Linked DNA regions of Alligator mississippiensis. Each later gene encodes a partner of the first gene's protein in a complex. Links are inferred from orthologs where the notes say so. Each region holds a gene or a part of one and is shown in the gene's direction. Other genes may lie near its edges.

Region 1 (7,311 bases):
CTGTTTGCATGTCCTTCTGTCACTGTCTATATCTGAGGCCAAGGATAGCCATACAGATTTTTCCACGTAGAATGATACGGTTGAGCAGCATGGTAAATGGGATGCATAGGCCTAGCTGAACCATGGTTGTACAATGAAAACTCAAATGAGTGCCACATTTTTCCAAACCATGTTGGGGGCTTGTTCTTGATAGTTCCTTCCCAGAAATAGAACTCCTTCCTGTTCTGGCCTGTCACAGCCTGAGCCTGGATGTTTCTTCCAAAAATATTGTAAACCCTTTTTGATTTGGGCAGGCCTTTTGCTGGCAGGGTTGAGTTTTGGATCATTTTATGGAGCGTTTGTTCTAATACATATTACTTTTGTTTAATATTTTAATCTGTCTTTATAATTTATCTGGGTCTTTATTGTAAGTCACCCTAAGCCTGTCTTTGGGAGAGCAGCATATACATAAATAGACATTCAGGCCCTGATTTGACAATCGTGGATCTGCGTCTTCACAGAGCCAAGGGCAGGAGAAGTTTTCTATTAATGCTGCTCTTCTTGTTTATACTTAGGTGTGTCAGCAATTTAACTAAATTTGGTTTACTAAAATGTGTTTAAAATTTGCCATGTCTATTTAGTTTGTAAAATAGGCTACTCTTCAAACTACAGTAAAGTGTGTCTACATACAAATTTGAATCAGTCTACCTTAAATAGGTTAGAAACACACACACTGAACCAAATCAGTATGCCTTTGCTTGGAGACAAAGCCTTACACGTGCAAGCTAAATGGTAAACCAGGCTTCAGTTGAATTAGAAATGTCTACACATGGGTTTGCACTCATCTAACATGGTTTAAAATGCATGCCTAGTTAATAAAATGCTACTTAGTAACAGAACAGACTTCAGCCTTGAAGAAAAATGTACTTAGCCAATAGCAGAAGTTGCAAATAGGCGAACTCACTACATTAATCACAGTCTGTTGTTATCTATTTATCAACTTCAAAGTCTTTTTAAATTGCTGACAACTTTCCTGTTCTCTAAAACAAAACAAACCAAAAAAGAAGTCAAATACACATATTAATTGTAATGGTAATGGTCTACAATGAAAGATAGGAAGTCAGGGAACATAGCAGTTAAGGTTTTTAGATTAACATTAATTTACACACATTGGGACTGATTAGGCTACTTAACAAGTAGTATCTGTAGAACAAAGAAATTATTTTCTGTGATAAAACTGAATGTTTGTGCTTCCTTCCTGAATGTTGTTGAAATATGTAACCTAAATGTTGTACAAGTACATACCATTTTACACTTGAACCCAAATTTTGTAATGGATGCAGGGACCAGCCCAGAAAGAGGTAAATATAAAATTGGATGCTTAGTTTACATGCGTCACACTAGTGGATATCATATCTTTACATCAATTTTCTTTTTGTGGAAATTTAACTAAAACAATGCTTGTGAAAAGTAAGCAGAATGGGGAGAAGTCTAAACTCAAATTTAACAGAATAAATCTCAGGGTGTAAAAGGCCAAAAATTCTCTTTAATAATTTTGCAGCTGTGTAGACCAGGGGTTCCCAAACTGTGGTACATATACCCCCGGAGGTATGCAAGACATCTCTGGGGGTATGCGGGAGAAATTGTGAACTGGTGGATTTAATTTTCATTATAATCATAATTGGTATTTAAGGGTTTAAAATATAAAACAGATGCTGGTAAGGGTACATGGGTAGCTGGTAAATCTGGAAGGGGGCACACAATACGAAAAAGTTCGGGAACCTCTGGAGTAGATTAAGAAGATTCATGTATTGCTCTTAGTCTAAAAACAGAAGTCCACATTTTTTCATAAAAGGTGTCTAAAAGATTCTTATTTTTTTCCCTTTTTAATTTTTTTCTTTAAACAAACAAATAATAAACCTCCAAGCCTTGAAGGTACATTTTTGCTATTTTATTTATTTTTAGGAACTGCATAATTTTTTAAACAGAAAAAAGAACTATGATAGCTTGTTCTGACTTATGCTTGTAAGATCAGAAAAAACAGTTCTGATCAAATTGAATGGAGGCCTTAAACCAGGTTGTATAGTTATAGTAAAAAGGTGTCATTAAAGAAACATTGTGTATTATTTTGCCCTCAAATATTAAATTTCTATTTACACATTAAAATGTTTGTTTATAAGGTAGAGTTTTGGGTAACCTGCCCTCAATAAGGTTTCTTAGCTGGAACAGGCAGGAAGCAGGGTAGGGTGGCAGTTTAGAGATTATTAATTAATTCAGAAAGGAAAGCTTCTGCAGGTGAAATCTACTTTAGGGGTGTCAACCTCCTGCCTGCAAGCCAAATCTAGGCCATGGAGCCATGGCATCTGGCTTACAGAGTTCCCCATGGATTGGGAAATTTGGTGGTAGGAAAGGATAGCTACACCTTTCCGCTGCTGCCAAATTTTCAAGCCCCACATATCTGGATGCAGGCCCAGCCAGGTCAGTCTGTTGCCATGTAGACGGACATGGGTCCCCCCACCCAGGTTGCTGGATCCAGCCAGAATGGACCTGGGCTGTTGGGGTGGTCCATGGGCCGGATGGGCCCTTGCTGCGTCTGCTCCATGCTCTGGATTGTGCTTGCTGTCTGGATCCAGCCTGCAATCAGACCTTGCACTGCTCATCCAGCCCCTAGTCTACTTAATTGGAAACACAATAGTTTATGTGTTTTTGAATCAGTTAAGTCTCCAAATTGCTACCCTGTCCCACTTTCTGCCAGACTTTAGACTAGCACGGCTAACTACCTTTCTATACTGTTAGCTGGAACAGTAAGACAATTTTGAAACTGTAAGAATCAAACCTGCCTGAGTAAATGACAAAGTATGAAGCCTCTTTTATTACTGGAAAAAAAAAAACATTAAAAAAATCAGCCATTAGTGCCTTTTTTCCTCGTGTTATTTCTTAATGCAGCTACTTCAGATTAAAAAATTATGACAATTAAAATAACAATAGTCTATGAGTTTTATTCTTTTTGTTTTAAAGGATGGGGAAGTTCAGCTATTATCAGGTAAGCCTTATGTGCCGACTTAAGCACCATTGTAGCCCCACGGAAGTTAGCATGAATATTCACACTAGTTATGTCTAACCTAGTGGTGGGCAACCTTTTTAGACCGGAGACACCCTTTGATAAACTCAAGGCACCTTCAGAAAATATCGGCTCCTAGTTTTCAAGTGTTTCTTAATGACGGAAAAATAGTAGAGCCATTCTTCCTTTGCGAAGAACTCACAAAGACTGCAACAGTTCAGTCTTGTCGTAACACTGCCAATTCCCATTTGAAACCTCTGGGTTTACTGTGCAAGTTTGGATCTGCACGCCTCACAGTGCTAATGCTGTGTGGCACCCCGTTGCACCCTTGAAAGGATTTCAAGGTACCCCAGGGTGCTGTGGCATCCAGCTGGAGAATCACCCGTCTAACCTGTCTGGGTCTGGAGGGTTGGGCCCTTGTTATTTAAGCCAAGCTTGAAGGTTGTGATGTGAAAAACCTCCTGGGTGCCCCAGTTAAGAGAAACTACATGGTGCCCCGAAACCGCTCTGACAGCATCTGCCTCAGGTGCCGGATGGGACAAGGTGGCCAATCGGACCAGTGGCCCGGGCACGAAAAGATTTGGTTTCTGACTTAGCCAACGGGGACTGCAGGGCCGCTTTCCTGTCCCTCGTCCCATCACTGAGCAGCATCCACCGGCTCCTTGGAGTCTCTGGAGGGCCGCCGGGCACTGTCCAGTGCACTCTGCTCAGCTCCACTTTCCCAATCCCTGATTCTGAACCCATGACCTTGCTCCCTTCCCTGTTTCCTTGGCTGTTGTGTCCCAAGGAATTGGCCGTCGCTTTCTCAGGGGCCTCCCTCCTTAAGGGCGGCTGATAGTCACCCTTGATCCCCTGAAAGTAACAAACAGCCTGTCCCTGCCGCCTCCGGCCTGGGTCCCTGAGGCCCCAAAGCGGGTGGGATCGGAGCCCCCATGAGAGGAAACATGCGGCCCACCCCTGCCTTTGCCTGACCAGGGACAGGCGGCTCCACCGGCGGGGCTGCGTGTGCGTGGGGCCGGGTCACGGAGCAACTCCCCCCTCGGTGTGTGTGTGCGTGTGTCTGTGCCTGTAACAGGGCCAGGCCCGAGCCGAGTCGGGCCGGGGGCGGCAGGAGCGCACCGCACCGCAGCGCCGCGCTGCGCAGGGGGCGGAGCGCCGCCCCTCCCCCACACGGGTTGCCCGGCGGCAGCGGCGGGGTCACGGCGGCGGCGGGGTCAGAGGGTAAAGGTCGCTCCCCCAGCATCCTCCGTGCTGGGGACTCAGCCATCTTGGATCGGCGGGACAAGAAAATTCATGCGGTGAGTCCGGCCCCCCGCGCCCCCGCGGGCTCCGCGCTGCGCCCTCCCCCGCCTTGCCCTGGCCCGCGGCCACCTCCGGAGGGCCCCGCGGCCGCCCCGGCCTCGCCCGCCCGCGCCGCTGCCCCCCGCCCGGCCACGGCCCCGGGCCCAGCCGCGGCCCCGGCCCGCCGGGCTGCCGTTTGCTTTTGTCTCCGAGGGAGCGAGAGGGAAGCGGGGGGAGGCGCGCGGCGCCCGAGGCCGGCGCCCCCCGGGCCCGCTGCGCGCAGGACCAGGCCGCGGCCGCGGGGCCCGGAGGCCGCGTCGCGCTGCGCTCAGCGCCGGGCCCGGCCGCGGCCGCCGCTCCTCAGCGGGCCCAGCGCGCCCGCTGTCGCTGCCGCCACCGCCGCTGAGCCCGGCCCGGGCTGAGGAGAGGGGCCGAGCCCGGGGGACTGGGGGTGTTTTCCGGCGCTCTCCTGCTGGAGACGGGGGGCTGAGCCGCCCGTCCCGGTGTTGGGCGAACAAACTTGAGAGCGGGCCCTTCGCTTCCCTTCCCCGCAGCGGGCCGGGGACACGGGGCTTCGCCTCCCTGTGCCGGCAGCCGGGCGGGGGTAGCGGGGACTGCCAGGGGTTTGTGCTCGGGCCCTGCTTGTGGGGGTTTCTGCTGGAGGATGCCCTGACCTGCTCGCCAAACCAGCCTCGCTTAGGGAGAGGGAAAGAGAAGTCCGCCTGAAGCCACAGGTAACTTTTGGCTGAGCTCTCTTCCCTCTGGGGTAGAACTTGAGTACAGCCGTGGTGTCTTCCTCCCCCTGCACCTTCAGGGAGGTGATTGCCAATAGCAGCTTTTGACTTTAAAAAAAAAAAATTAAAAATCTATTTTGTTGGAGAAACTTAATCTCTGCCCTGCTGCTCTCCAGCTGACACTTGGCAGTGGTGTCACATTTTCACATCTGCCCGAGTGTGCATGGTGTCTTGAAGGCAACATTTGTTCATAGTCTTGATGGTGCTAAAGTCTGGTGGTGGTGGTGGTGGGTGGCTGCTGGGCTTTATTCTTCAACCAGGTGATTTAAGGGTGATTGGACTTGCTGTCATACCGGCCAATAGGAATCATGCTGCTGGGAGGGAGGGTTAAACTGTTATGGCGTATAGATCTAGAATAGTAACCAAAATGCGGCTATTTCGATTTTTATGGCAAAAGTCCTGTATTTAGGCCTAGGAAGGACTTTGTGCAAGCAGCAGTGTTCTTTGAGTCTCCTCTTAGAACGGGACATTTCATCACTGTCTGTTGTTAATAGAACAAGGTTTGCAAGATCTTGTCCTTGTTTCTCGAGTACTGGTATAACAGCATCACTGCTCGCCCGGAGAATTCCTGATGGTATGTTGTAAGCTTCCAGACTTCAAGGTACCAGTCCTTTTATTACGAGGGAATTTGAATGCTTCACATCACAAAGTAATTTGTCATTGTCTCGCAAGTGGTATTTTGGTTTCATTTTCAGGAAGTTGCACTGAAGCTAATGACGTTGTGGTGGAAAGAACGTTTTGTTTTGTGCATCCTTCTCTAAAGAGTTGTAACTACTTACTTATGAAACTCTGTGTTAGGAGAATCTGCTCCTTGTGCCTTAACTGTTAATGCTAGTCTAAAGTTATCTGAGAATTTAAGAAAGGACTTTAACAGCTGGAGTGCCCAAATTAAGATGTCATTTGGAAGGGCCCAACTTCTAAAGAACGAGTACTTGTTACTTCCTGAACATCAGATCCCATAAAAGTGTTGTCAGTTGGGCAACTTAGAGTAGCCCTAGAACCCTGCTCACATTTGGTAATGTTGGTCTTTAGCGCTAGCTCTTTGTGAAAGTTGAGAGTGCCATTTCACTGAGTTAACTGACCATAGGTCTGACATCAAAATTGTTTATTTTTCCTCCAGTCTTGCCTGTGTGTTGTCTATCTAGACAGGATTGCAGGCTTAATTTGTTACAGTTTAATTTTGTTGTAAAAATACACTTTCATCTCCTTTGGAAGTCTATTTTCAGTACTAAAGTTTGAAAAAAGTGGGTATTGTCCCTTATACTGAAAGTGTACCTTTTAAAAAAGCATTCTCCAATAGTTTTCTCACAATGTAAAATATTAAGATTAAACCCAAATTATTTATTTTTTCAGGTCAAGTCGGCAGTGTTAATGGGATTTGTACACAAATTCTACACAAGCATTCAAGGATAGAATTTGGCATTAAGCTTGTAGGATCCATATTTTTTTTATAGTGCTATGTAAATGGCTGTGATCTGATCTGTTATTATTTTGGGGAGAGGGATTTTCCTTGTGACAATCCAAAAAATTCAATGAAGAATATATGTTGGTTACTACCTTCTCCACCCCTCCCCCCATGTTGGTTTACTTCTGTTGTGTTTGTGCATATTTATAAATGTTATTCCAGACTGGAAGAACTTTTAGTTTTCCAGTGTAAGCCTGTCTAAACATGTTACACTTTGTACCAATTAACTTTTTTTTTTCTTTTTTAAGAAGTAGGTGTTTGTTCATAATTATGCAGGATCAGGTTGATATTTCTATCATTTATGCAAAAATGCAGCCACTAATATTTGCTGACAAAACCCAACAATTCAAGGTTAGGGTAACTTAGACTTGCTAGCTAATAGAAAAATAATCTTAAAATGCTTACAAAATTGTTAGGCATTTTGACTTTGATAAAATATTCTGTCTGTTTCGGTGAATATGTTTTCAATTAAAACATCTTGTTTTTTTAATATGTGTAGTACTTCAGAATGGTTTGTTTTTATTTCAGGTTCCTGTGTTAGAGGGGTGTTGTACTTTTTTTTTTTTTAAATGCCCCTAAAAAGTGACCTAAAGTGTTGCTTTGGTTAAGGTTCTGATCCTACAATTATTTATGTACACACTTAAGTAGGATTCTTCATTTGAATAGTAACTTACTGACAGATGAGCACTTGCTGAGGAATTTGCAGGAGTTAGACCTACATTTGTGTTTGT
Region 2 (7,162 bases), on another chromosome or scaffold:
GTTTTTTGCCCCCAGTCAGCACGGGGGAAAAAGCCCCTTGTCTTACATTTGCATGCAAGGAAATCTCACTAAACACACTGTCCATCTTTGAACTGCTGCTAAAAGCAGTGTATGCTCAGCAGTGGAAACCAGCTGTGACATTGAGTAAATGCAGCCAGCGCTGATCATGCCAATAAAATACATGGACATTGGACAAACATGCTGATGGGAGCCTACTACCAAGACAGGTTGGTGCAACCCATCTGAATAAGATATATGTTAGTGTCCACTGAGTGCAGTCTCTTTCAGCACCTCTTCTTTTTTAATCTCATGGTGAGCCACCAAATTGCATATATTTTTTACTTTATCTTCACTCCCACAGCTGAGCTGTGCCTATCTTCTCCATTTCCAACGAGCCCTGTTTCTTCACCAGCCTTAATGGCCTGGCAAACATCACCAAACAGGGCTCCAAACATACCTCTCTCATATGATTAGTGGTCCCTCCACGAGGTGAAGCTGGACCAGGATGCCCTATGTCTCATCTGCATCTACATCTTGGAGGATCCCAGGACTCCTGGTAAGAACACCTGGTTCCAGTGATGAGGAAGGGCTAATTAGCATGCTTTGTGGGGGTATCTGGGGTACACACACAAACTGGGCAGTGCTGAGCTGTGGGGTCACCATGGCTTGAAATGCTGTTAACTCTGCTGGAGGGAGGAGAGGGCATCCTAATGAACTATATGATAAATCATGAGCCTTTTGTCTTTGGACTAATATTATACACAGCTTGTATTACATATAAATAGGTGTCAAAGTGCTACTTAAAGTGTATTTAGGGAGTACCTGTGCAAAAGCATGCAGCCATTTCAAAAAAGGTAAAATGTAGAACAGAGAGCTGAAACGAACTACTTCAACCAGGAGACCTTACAACACCTACCACTCTCCTGTGAAATACGAGTTTTCATTTCCACCTAGGAGCAATTTTACAATCTTTGCACTCTCCTATGCCTGAGGAAGGGTAATTGTGCTCGAAACCTTGCAAATAAAGTATTTTGTTTGCAAATATCTAGTTGGGCTAATAAAAGATATCACCTCTGCCATGTGCTCTGATTCCACTTGATTTGACTCCCACGCCAGAAAAGTCAGTTATGAGAAGAATTGTAAAATGCTGCTGTTTAGACACTTCAAAAAAGCATCTTCATTTCATCTGCTAACCCCCCACTCCATCCTCAAAGATGTTAATTTATTCTATCCAATTTATAACACAATTTCCAATATGTAAAAAATGTGCTAGGATAGAACCTGACTGAAACACAAATGATAGTTTTATTATGTGTTTGATAAACTGTACCTGAGCGCAACACGCACAAGCAGCCTGCTACCCTGAGAATAGCAGCTGTAAATGGCTTTGCAGCAGGATAAAATGAGTTTATCTTCTTTTGCAAAAGCCCTTTGCCCACTGTAAAGTATTTATCAGTCCATATTGCACTGTTATGTACCATGTGAATGAACTCATGTTACCTTAGAAGAGTTATCTGTGCAGTTCAACCTACTCTCTTTAGAAAAACTTAGTATATTATAAATCTTGCACTTTACTGAGCAGTTTCTTTCCAAGACTACTTCATCCTAGTGCTATTTACACATAACAATTTTCAAAATGTATGTCCTTTTGAAATGGATACTCTATAAAGAGCAGGCTGTCTGAAATCATTCCATTAGGAGAGCACTTTTTATAAAAAAGAGGCCAATGATTTTTTGATGGAAGAGACTGGCGGTCAGGAATTGTATACACCTAGACATGTATAGAAAGGAGTTTCCAACTACTATGATGTGCCATACATCTGCCTGCTGACTTTTTCATACTGATGCTATGGTTCAAAGCTTATAGAAACCCTGTATTCAACAATAAAAGAAGCCTGAGGATATACTGAAACTTAACATACTGCAACTGTGGGTCCTTAGAAAGATGGAGAGCGATTGTTCAACTCCCATCTTGTACTTTTAGGGAATTATTTCAAAAACAAAAAGAAAAGAAAAGAAACATCACAGTTCTTTCGTGCCAGGTCCCCTCCACCTCCCTAAGTCGTGGCAGAAATCTTGCCAATGGAAACCACTCCAGTGCACTGTCTACATCTTCACTCCCTACCCCACCTTTGAATCCTTATCCCATTAAACTTCTCACAGCAAAGCGCGTGCAGCCAACTTGGTTACATCCTTTTGACTTCCAGTATTTTTGCTGAGATGACTCAAGATGCACCCACTAGACTACCAAAAGATACGTACCATGGAGCTGGAGCTGTTCCAGTGAACAAAGACAACATACACCTCCAGCATAGTGAATTTACCATACGCATTGGCATACAAGCCAAATGGGACTCAAAGAGACATCAGACCTCTTAGTTGGCTGCCGTCATCAGTCCTTCAACTGATGCCACTTAAAAAAAGTCTTCTTTTTAAAATCATTTTTGAAGTACAGACAGTCCTCGACTTACAGTTCGAGTTACATTTTGCACTTATAATGTTTCTAAATTGACACCGTTTCGACTTTATGACATCAGTTTCGACTTTATAACGCTTGATCTGATTCATAGATTGTAGAGTCGGAAGGGACCACAATGGATCATCGTGTCCGACCCCCTGCCCCAAGCAGGGAAAGGACCAAGGTCAGACGACCCCAGCCAGGTGCCTATCTAGCCTCCTCTTGAAGACCTCCAAGTTAGGTGATAGCACCACCTCTCTTGGCAGCCCGTTCCAGATGTGACCCCACGCCAGCCAACAAGCTCGCTGCGTCGCCCATCTCTCTGGGGAACATCTGTCCAAACTTCCTTGGATGCTTTCTTTAAGAAAGCAGACAGGACTCCAGAAAACCTGCATCCAGGACTCCTGACAAGACTTCAGCCAAGAGCCCTTCAAAAAGTCCAGCAAAGTCACCTCAAGGAAGTCTTTCCAAATCAACAGGATTGCTATTTACAATATAAATACATGAATGTAGCTGTATTACTCATGTATATTTGATCGAGTGCAAAATTATAGGTTATTTTTGGTGAAAACAGGGTATAGGGCCTTGGTTCAGGAACCAACCTCCCCATTTATAACATTGTTTCTTGTGGGGAAAAACGGTTCTGAGTTACGTTTCGACTTATGACGCCGTTTTCAGGAACCAATCGCGTCGTGAGTCTGAGGACTGCCTGTATTCACAAAGTACCGGCGTTAATCAAACAAAAGGACAACGATTAGTAACACCGCGGTGTCCCCTACTGAAGCAAAGTACCGACGGTCTTGTAATGACATTTCCCACTTAAAAAAAGAATTAGTCAGGAAAGTTGTCTGGATTAAAAGATCCTGGATTCCTGCAATAGCTGTTCGTGGATGAAGAGGACCATTTTTTCGGCACTGACCACATCAGCCCTCAGAAAAAGCCGTTACGTCCCCTTCGTTTTCAATTTTCGAGCACGTGTTTTAGTGCCGGCCGGCTATTTTTCGAGCCAGAGAGTCGTTTCGATGGCGTGATAATCGCTTTACACGCGCGGCTGGTTTCAGTGATTGGGTTCGGGGCGTGATCGTTGCCTGGCGCTTGTGGCCGGTCCGTGTTTATTGCGCAGGGAGCCGCGCAATACATGTAACGTAGCAGGGGGCTGCACAAAACGGAGACCACCGGGAAACGAGTTGACGTCAGCGCACAGGATTAGCACCGAATTGACTGTGTGGACGTGCTTAATCTGAATTAATTTCCCTCTTATGCAACAGCCCTATATAAGTGAATGGATTCTCCCACTTCTCCACCCCCCCCCCAAGGGGGTCATGGACTCTCCCAACAGCGCCTGGAGAGAGAGACTTGGGAAAGTCCAATAGAGTTAGAAAAGGGAAGGGGGGGGATAAAAATGGAACGGCCAACTTCACGCATGCGCCCTTCAGCATTATTGCCCTCTTCCCCACGCGCATGCTCCAAGTGGGCAGGGCGTCGCGACACGAGGCTCGCTTTCCAACGCATGCGCAGTGACGGCAAAATCCCTCCTCCCGTCTTTCCCTCTGACCTGACGCATTCACGCAAACTTGGGCTCTCGCGAGAGAGCGGGAGGCAAACCGGAAGTTCCGTTGGCGGCGGGACTTCGCGCCGGAAGTCCGCCAGACCGCTCACCTCCCGGTGGGGAGGAGCAGACGAGTCGTGGGGGAAGGAGCAGACGAGTCGTGAGGGGGGGGCTAGAGCGGCCGCAGGAAGAGCAGTCCCGAGGCCTACCCCTCAGTCCCACTCTCGCTTCGCCGGGCCCGGTGGGAGCGGGAAGGAGCCGGGTTGGCACGCAGCTAGCAGGTGCTGAGCGGGGGAGGGGGAGAGGCCTCGCTCCGAATGGCCCGCTCGTGTGAACGCTCTTAATCCGGATTAGTTTGATCCACTTGCAGCGGGAGGGGGGTTGTGGGCCAGGCTTGGTGCAGGAGGCACCGGGGGACCGTTTGAAGACCGGGGAGCCCCGTATCACCTCGTTAACACGGTTCCTAACGGGCCCTGTCGAGAGAAGGAGGAGGAGGGCAGTGCAATGAATGTCGCGTCTGCCAGTCTCGACGCGACTCGACAGCTGTCCCTTAAGGGCTGGGACGTTTCAATTCGGAAGCCCCCGAGCCCTTGTCCTCCAGCCGCGGCTTCCCCCCGCCCCCGCGCGCGGTGAAGCAATAATCCTCGCGACCCCCTCGGTCCCGCGCCGGCAGACGGCACAGCGAGCGGTCAGGTGGGCCCGGTCCGCCGCGTGCGTGCGTGCGTGCGTGCTGCGAGACCTGGCGCGCTGTCGCCAGAGCGCCGGAAAGGGCTCGACCGGGCTTGCTCGCCCCACGCGCCAGGATGGGCTGGTTTCCTTACGGTCGTAGGATGGCGGCGCGCTTCGGAGAGGGGTGTCCTGCCTCAGGCAGAGGGATGCGCTGATCCGCGTTGTGCGGCACCATCATCCCTCTCCAGACCGTGCCTCAGGCAGGCGGATGCACGAATCGGCGTGGTTCGGAGAGGGATGCACGAATCGGCGTGGTGCGGCAGGATCATCCCTCTCCAAACCAGGCCTCGGGCAGAGGGATGCACTAATCCACCTTGTGTGGCATGGTTTGGAGAGGGATGCACTAATCGGCATGGTGCGGCAGGATCATCCCTCTCCAAACCATGCCTCAGACTTCAGAAGGATGCACTGTAATCGGCATGGTGCGGCATGGTTTGCAAAGCAATGCACTATAATCGGCATGGTTTGCAGAGGGATGCACTAATCGGCATGGTGCGGCATGGTTTGCAAAGGGATGTGCTAATCGGCATTGTGCGTCATGGTTTGGAGAGGGATGCACTAATCGGCATGATGCGGCAGGATCATCCCTCTCCAAACCATGCCTCAGACTTCAGAAGGATGCACTGTAATCGGCATGGTGCGGTGTGGTTTGCAAAGCAATGCACTATAATCGGCATGGTTTGCAGAGGGATGCACTAATCAGCATGGTGCGGCATGGTTTGCAAAGCAGTGCACTATAATCGGCATTGTGCGGCATGGTTTGGAGAGGGTTGCACTAATCGGCATGATGTGGCAGGATCATCCCTCTCCAAACCATGCCTCAGACTTCAGAAGGATGCACTGTAATCGGCATGGTGCGGCGTGGTTTGCAGAGGGTTGCACTAATCGGCATGGTTCAGAGAGGGCTGTGCTAATCGGCATGGTTTACAGAAGCATTCATAGATGTTAGGGGTGAAAGGGACCTTGGAAGATCATCGGGTCCAGCCCCTTGCACCCAGTAGGAGAGAGGACTGAGGGTGAGGTGACCGTCCAGTCTCCTCTGGAAGATTTCCAGAGTAGTTGATTGCACCCCGTCTGGAGGGAGCTTATTCCACAGACTGAAGGATGACCCTCCCTGGGGCAGGGGGTCAGACAGGATGACCTCGGGAGGTCCTGTCTGGCCCCACTTCTCTCTATTAAGATTTCTCCAGAGCAGCGAGACCATGCTGCGGTGGGTTGCAGATGACAGCGCACATCTTCCTACTTTTAGTTTCCTGAAGCAGCCAACAGAAATGTTGCAAAACTTTAGCAATTAAATTGTTGCCAAGTGATGTGTGCAAACAAGCCCTACCCTTAAAATGCAGTCCTAAAAGGAGGAGAAACATTGGCTCGTCTCAGCTGGAGTTGGTAGTCCCAGGTACCTTTTTGCTAACTAAGAATTGTTTCCTTTTCCTTTGTCCCTTGACTGCCTGTTTTAAGGACGTGTTAGAAGCAAGAAAGAACATGTTAATTCAGATGTTTCAGCTGAACTGACACCACAAGGCAGAAACTTGACTGGTTGTGCCTGCCGGCGTGTCCTGACTTGTGGAGCGGTGTGGATATAAATATGAGTTTGCATTTCTTGCAGCGTGCCGACTGAGCCACAGAGCTGGCAGCTCTACACCATCATACTGACCACCCAGACACGCCATTGGGTGCTTCTATTCCAATTCCTGCAAGATGCCAGCAGCACTTGCAGAGAACAGCCAGGTTATCTGTGAAGTATGGGCAAACAATCTGGAAGAAGAGATGAGGAAAATTCGAGAAATTGTTCTCAGTTACAGATACATCGCCATGGTAAGAATATGGTGCTTTTTAATGACCATTTAAGCTGTCAAAGTAAAGGGATCTCAGCGGGGTAGGTCACTCAAGACAAAAAAGTGTTTGTTTTCCCAGGTCAGCTTGAGCCCAATAGTACGTGGAGCAAACAGCTGGGAAACTAGTTAGCACTCGGCACTTGACTGCGTTTTTAATATATAGACTTTCTTAGGATTTATACAGATAACTTTATGCTTCATTACATACCTGCATAATTTCACAGGGCAGGCAATCCTGAGCAGATGAGATCTATTACACTTACTGACAGGGATTGTATTACTTTGTTTGTATGAGAGAGAATTAAAATAACAAGATGGTCATTTGGTCGTAAACATTTTGATTTAGCTAGCTTGAATGACACGGGCGATTTGGCTGAGAGAAATTTCTTGCTGGCATGTGGCAAAAGGCATGCAAGTCACAACTCGTTAGCTAATAGGACTGCTCCATAATGGTCAGTCACTACAGCCGCAGAGTGGAGGATAATTTGGCCTCAAATATCACGTCGACTTGTTCAGATAGACACATTTATCTCAAATTTCTGAGAATCTTGTTGAGGTGGAATTCCTCGTGTGGTCGGGTGGGAGCGGGGA

What was found. Proteins that work in one complex are often made in the same cells at the same time.
Region 2: CNOT2 (region 1) and CNOT8 share a complex: the UniProt entries of both Homo sapiens proteins name them as parts of the CCR4-NOT complex. The link is inferred for Alligator mississippiensis from reciprocal best matches to the Homo sapiens genes CNOT2 and CNOT8.

The regions. Positions count from the first base shown.
Region 1 is NC_081827.1:70,446,925-70,454,235, forward strand, and holds the start of CNOT2 (CCR4-NOT transcription complex subunit 2), read left to right. Parts: upstream 1-4,301; 5' UTR 4,302-4,338; intron 4,339-4,955; exon of another isoform or gene 4,956-5,055; intron 5,056-5,609; 5' UTR 5,610-5,686; coding exon 5,687-5,716; intron 5,717-7,311. UniProt on the Homo sapiens protein: Component of the CCR4-NOT complex which is one of the major cellular mRNA deadenylases and is linked to various cellular processes including bulk mRNA degradation, miRNA-mediated repression, translational repression during translational initiation and general transcription regulation.
Region 2 is NC_081832.1:77,043,770-77,050,931, forward strand, and holds the start of CNOT8 (CCR4-NOT transcription complex subunit 8), read left to right. Parts: upstream 1-4,150; 5' UTR 4,151-4,288; intron 4,289-4,424; exon of another isoform or gene 4,425-6,132; intron 6,133-6,342; 5' UTR 6,343-6,434; coding exon 6,435-6,551; intron 6,552-7,162. UniProt on the Homo sapiens protein: Has 3'-5' poly(A) exoribonuclease activity for synthetic poly(A) RNA substrate. Its function seems to be partially redundant with that of CNOT7.